2 separate regions of the Mus musculus genome follow, and region 1 is reported to be linked to region 2. The links are microRNA targets in miRTarBase. Many come from high-throughput screens and were not tested one by one. Region 2 holds a microRNA gene; the other region holds the end of a gene's coding sequence.
Evidence for each region. The annotated mature microRNA mmu-miR-466k reads UGUGUGUGUACAUGUACAUGUGA and lies in region 2 at 1,347-1,369, opposite strand. An mRNA with a match to its seed (bases 2 to 7 or 8) in the 3' UTR can be bound and repressed. Matches are read on the target gene's strand: a 7mer-m8 pairs with bases 2 to 8, a 7mer-A1 pairs with bases 2 to 7 and ends in A, and an 8mer does both.

Region 1: the mRNA of Pld5 is a reported target of mmu-miR-466k. Seed matches in the 3' UTR shown: 7mer-A1 at 2,557-2,563, 7mer-A1 at 1,838-1,844, 8mer at 1,836-1,843, 8mer at 1,834-1,841, 8mer at 1,832-1,839, 8mer at 1,830-1,837 and 15 more.

What each region holds. Positions count from the first base shown.
Region 1 is chr1:175,961,254-175,964,397 of GRCm38, forward strand. Pld5 (phospholipase D family, member 5) reads right to left here. Exons shown (of 10, transcript NM_176916.4): 10 at 1,053-2,831. The coding sequence ends at 2,575. Among named protein-coding and RNA genes, the nearest start is that of Becn2, 42 kb to the left of the region's middle.
Region 2 is chr3:85,465,621-85,468,764 of GRCm38, reverse strand. It overlaps Mir466k (microRNA 466k), which reads right to left and starts at 1,388; the gene lies at 1,267-1,388. All of the region lies in intron 1 of Gm31419 (a long non-coding RNA gene), which reads left to right.

The DNA.
Region 1 (3,144 bases), not on the chromosome of region 2:
TGATGGTACGTTTGGGAATAAGTGACCTGCTGGTCATTTCATAAGTGACAATGATCTCTTTTCCTATTGCACAATACCCAAGGCAGCAACAGGGAGAGGGCCCATGCCCCCAAACCTTTGTTTGTCTCATGAGACTATTGACAAGGAATCTGGGTGACAATGGAGGGAGCCCAAAGGGAGACAACCTTTGAAGTTTCCCTTTGAATCAACCAAGGTTCCCTTTGTCTGTCCAAGAGTGAACAAGCTAGTATGTCTCCACCTTGAACCATTGCCTCCTTCCTTCCTTGGAAAATTATTCCCAAAGCTATTTTCAGACAGCTGCCAGGATGACACCCAATTCAAGGATGGAGTATATGGTAAATACTTAAGAGTCTTGTAGGCTGACCATTATTAATGAAAAGTATCACTGAGAGTCTTTAAATCAGCCCATAAAACTCGATACCCTTTAATCATAGCTTTCTCATCGGATGCTGTGTCCCTGTCCCTCTCTTAATCTCTGTCTTTCTCTCTTTTTCTTTCCATTAATTTTTGTTTGTTTTTCTGAAACAGGGTCTCTCTCTATGTAGCCTTGGCTGTCCTAGAACTTTCTATGTAGCCTCTAACCTACAAAGATCTTCCTGCCTCTGCCCCACCCCCACCCCCCAGTGAGCTGATATTAATGGCATGCATCGCCATGCCTGGATACTGTCCCAGCTCTCTTGACTGGTTTTAAACACCCAGTGAGGTGACAGGTGTCTTTGGCAGGAAAAGAACATGGGTGATCAGTAGGACTGTGAACAGCCTTCTGTGTCAGTGAACCTTTGAGTAGGGAACTCTTTTTGGCATCATTAAAACCAAGTCTCTCAAGATCAAATGAGATTGCTCATCCTTGTTCTAAAAACACAGGCACACACTGGTGCTAATGGACCATTTGCAGCGCAGCATCTAGTTATGTGTTATTATTTATGTCACCGTGACCAGGCTGCATGTTCCATTCAAATACCTACCATTCAGATGGTCACTCTGACCAACCTTCTCCACCCCTGGCCCCCATTCATATCACCTGTGTTTGCAAACAGAAAGTGCTTTATTTTGCCCTCTGGATTCTTCGGGAGAGTGCCTGGTATTGGTGCTACCAGGATACCACAGAGATTATTTCAAGAAAAAGATTATGCAATGTTAATGCTTAGCATTTATATAGGTTCTTTTGATTTCAAAAACAACTTATAAATATCGCCTACCATGACAGCATCCTTGCGAGGTAGGTGAGGATTATTGTCTACATTAACAATAGAAAACCGGGGCCAAAGAGGGAAGGGCTCTGTTCTGAGCACAGAGTCAGGAGCCACACTGGGCATAGGCATCTTGACCACTTCCTCTGGCCCTGAAGAGGTCACACCCCTCTCATGTACCAACAGTCTTTTTTAATACAGGATTATATATTATATAGATATAAAACAACACACAATGACATTATAGAACAGTAATCCAATATTTCTGTTTCTTAGTAAAATATGTTAAGCACAGTATTTAAATTGCATTTGTCTGAAAAGCATTTGGTATATTAAATAGCAGAAGGTATATTAAATAGCTCTATTATAAACATTTGCTGGCATACTCTTAACAGCATAATAATTCTAAATAAATTAAAATCCACCGACGCATAGACCTTTCCTTTATAATACTGTTAACCAAACAGAAATGTGAAACTGCTTTATTCTTCAAATGCAGACTTAATGGCTTGCTGGGTATTAGCAGGGGCACTTCATTTCTTTTTTTTTTCTTTCTTTTTTTTTTTTTTGGAGCTTGAGGAAAGGATATGTGTGTGTGTGTGTGTGTGTGTGTGTGTGTGTGTGTGTGTGTGTTTAAAAAATGTAATTGAAAGGAGAAAGTGAAAGACTGATTTCCATTCTGTATACATTCTGGGGAATTCATATCATTTCCCCAAGACATTCTCACTTTTTGAACTAATGCTGAGATGAATCCAAGGATGATGTAAAACAAGAACATGTTTGTCAGAAGACAGACTGATACCCTCAAAACCCTGGTATCAGAAGACAAGGAACAAGGGGACAGAAATGAGTGTTTTTCAGAAGTCTTGAAGGCTGGCATGAAATGGAGGTGCCTGTGCTCAGCTGCCTGGATAGGTCTTAGAGAGGATATGTCAGGGCAGATGCTTGGTTCTGTCTGCATCTTCTCCCCCCTTCCTCTAATTCCAGAATTCAGCAATATTAAAGGAAAGGGCTCACCTCATGTTATTCTTCTTAAAACCAGTGCTGATGGGTCAGCAGAAAAGATTCTAAAACCAGTAAGAATCAGGAGACAAGAACCAAGTCGTAAAATGTGTTTGCAGTCATTAAAAACTAACTCCTAGGCCAGAACAACATTCTCTGTCAGAGCTCATAGATACAAAAGTCTTAAATTTAATATACAGTGCTAAGATGTTGTTAGCTAGATATTACATGTCATTCAGAGAACATTTTAAATAAGTGTGCTTTTTATTTCTCCTTAATAAAAGAAAAGATGTAGTAAATTGTTGTCTTTCCTCTAGTCCTTCCTGCATTTGGTCTGAAGCCTTGTGTGTCTGTTAGTGAGCTATACGCTCAGCGGCTCCCTCCCGGTGGCATTGGCCATGGCAGGTTGCTTGGAGGGAGACTTGAGTTTGGACAGGCTTGAACAGTTCGGTTGTTTGGTGGGCTGTATGGATTTGGCATAAGGCGAATACCAGTCCCTCTCAAACACGTCCTTCAGTTGCTTAATGATGCTCCTGTTGTCTCTCACATCTGCCTGGTTGATGACAAGGCCCGTGCCAGCGTTCTGGGTAAAGTCATTCCCTACCCAGTCAAAATTTCCTACAAATAAAGAAATGATGATGAGAAGGTACGGTCCACTGGGAAAAGTCCCACTATAATGAAATACAGAACAGATTATATATACATATATATATATATGTATATATATATATATATATACAAACAAACAAACACCCAAAATAATAAGAGAGGCAGAATCCTGATGACAGCTCCCGAGGAAAAAAATTGCTAGAAGCTCCACATATGGCAGATTAATATTTGCATATTATTTTGGCATTTTCTTCAGCTTCGCTCAAGTCGAAACTCAAAACAAGAAATCTGCTGTTCTTTTCCTGTAAATGTTATTTCTTAT
Region 2 (3,144 bases):
CCGTGGACACTCAGGCTTCACCACAGACCTCCTGGCCTTATTTCCTGGGGGTTGGTGTGCACAATCAGCTCCAGGAGAGCCAATCAAGTCCTTGTGGATGTCATGTCTCAGTGTCCTCTTTATTAGGATGTCACAGGTAAATTCCTGTGGCTGGTGCCAAGACAAACTGCCTAGAACATTTTATTTGCTGGCTTGCTCTGATTAAAGTGGAGAACGCACTGCACTTTCTCGTTTGTGGTCACCTGCTAAATCTTTACCTTATTTCTGGTGTTGCCTAACACAGCGTCTCATACACAGCAGAAGAGAAAGAGTCACTAAATGAATGAATGAATCTATTTCCTATTTCCTTCGAAATTTGAGCCTCTGCACAGGCTGAGATGTACTGGCGTGCTTTGTGTTGTTGTTGGAGGTGGAATCTGGGGTCTTGTATATGCTGGGCAAGTGTTTCATCATTGAGCTATAACCCAAGAGCTAAAAAACTTGTTCCGGTGGCATTAGGGTAGCAGACAATTTTTGGGGAAATGAAGTTTGTTTCCAGAAGGCCTAGGGCTGTGGAATCCTGGGTATAATGGATGCTTAGAAGAGAAGAGATGACTTCAGGTCTCAAGGACTGAGGACATGTCCCTAGTTTTCAGTGACTGGCTTTTATACCACCAGAAGCTCTGCACACTCTGTACTGACCCTTTTCCTGTGAACTTCCCTGTGTAACATTTGTTCCTCTGTTTTATCAGCTGAATGATGGAACCTCACAGCCAAGAACTTTGAGAGGTCAAAAGGACCTGGCTGCTTCCTGCAGGTGGCAATGGCTTCCTTTCTTCTTCAGCCTTTAGACAGTTTGGATTTCAAATTATTCCATCACTTTCTAGAACATTCCAGATCCAAGCTCTCCTCTCCTATCACAGATGTATTCTGCAGCGCTGGGCCTCTCTACTGCATGTGGTTGTGGGAGAAGAAAGCCGCTGAGGTAGTTGAAGCCATGTTTAGCTTTTAGTTCTGTGAGGCAAGAGGGCCAGGACAGAGCATTTCCCCTTCCCTGTCAAGATATCAGCACCTGCTTGGGAAGCCAGAAGATGGAGGAGTAAAAAAGCTCCTGTTCCTCGGGGGCTTGCAGGTAAGGTCACGGCCAGTGCAGAGGTGCCAGTCTTCTCCTGCCCTATAAGGCTGCTGCTACCTGTGAAAGATCAGTGCAGTTGCTTACCTGTCACCTAGGCCAGATGGAGACACAGCCATCGGAGTCACAATTAGTAACACCTACTCACCATACACACACATGCACATGCACACATATACACATATATTCACATACTCACACACATGCACATGTACAAACATATACACACACATACTCACATGTACATGTACACACACACACACACACACACATATATATGTATATACACACCTGCACACACACACACACACACACACACACACACACACATATCAATAGAGAACATGCATATACACGTACATGCACTCATGCACATGCACACCCATGTGTATATGCACACACATACATACACATATACACATATGCATGCACACACACACATACACTTATTTCTATAGGAGGGTGTACATGAATGTATATCACATGCACACATGTATATGTGTGTGAATATAGGTGAATATACAGCCCCTCCCATCCTGGAAACTAGCACATTCATATAAGACACCATAATACAGCTTTTCAATATTTTCTTTTCTGTAAGAAAGTAGGGAATTGACTGAAGTCCAGGGCTGTTGCAGTTCAGAAGTTCGGCTCTTTATCTAAATGTGGCCCTGAGAGTTAGGCAGCAGATGGAGGTAACATGGCAGCTTCCAGGGCTTGGAGTCAATGACTTCAATGAACAAAAACAGACACTTTCTTTTACTCGCTCCATTGAGAACATGACCACACATTCCTGGCTCACAGGAGACCCCTAAATCTGGAGGCCACTCCACGATGTCTCCTCATCCTTAAAGTAGAAAGTGGGACTGCGGAATCTGTCATGTGCTCCATCTTGGGCCACTGATGGGGTCTGTGTGAGATGAGATCTGATTTGCCTCGGTTATTCTGGGATGCACATTGGCTACTCTGCCCACTTCATCCATTCTGAGCTACTACCAATCTCCATCCTTACAGGCAGCAGCCAATTTGAAACGTACAGTTGTATACTCCCACTTCAGGTTACTTTTGCCAACACATATTACCTTATGTTTATTTGAGTTAAGTTTCGTCTGCCTGCAGGCTGCACAATCCCCCAAAGTGTTCCGATGCACCTGGAATTTCTTGCAAATCTTCTCTGTTTTTATTAGCCACAACAGTTTGGAACTAGTTGAAACCTCTGGGAAGAGATTAGACAACAATTACTGCCCGTTGCTCATGTAATGTCTGGCCAGGTACATGAGCCAGCAGGCCTTGCTTGGCGGGGTGGGGGTGGGTGGGCATGATAGCATTTCTATCCACTGGTCTGTCTTTTGAACTCTCAACTCTGGACAGGTACCAGGGAGCCAGCCTATCCTTGGGGTGTATGTCTACACAGGGGCATAGAGCTGTCTTATTTACAGGTTTTAGAAGCTACTGCTCTGGAGCCAAGGGAATGTGTGTTATCAAGGCCCACTCTGTCTGGTCCCCTTGGATATTACAGAAAGAAGGGACAGAAGAAGAGAGCCGAGGGAGGGGAAGGAAGCTTGCAGCACTGCTCGCTATGCTGGGTTCTGTAAAATCAGGTGATTAGACATGGGAGGAGGAAGGACAGAAGTATCACCCTTCGGACTCCTCTGGAGAGGCTGAGACATCACCATGGTCACATCCTGGAATCTGGGAATGAGGACTGGTTGAGGCTGGAAGCCACTGTCCTCAAGACCAGGTAGGACATCAAGGACCAGTTCCACGAGCCAGGATGGAGGAGGTGAAGCGGGCTGCTGCTTGCGGAAAGCAGCTTCTGTGAGCAAGGCTGGTGTGTGGGCAGCAGCTTAGGCTGAACGGATCCCAGAGCGTTCCAGCGAGCTAATCTTGTCAGCCTCAAGCTGTTCCACAGACAGTGGGTGTGAATCCAAAGCCATCTTAGATGCTCAGCTCTCAAATGTTTCTTTTAAGAAAATAAAAAAAGAGAGATTGAAGGTACACCAGACCCAAATGGGCCAGTTACCTGGGAAGGT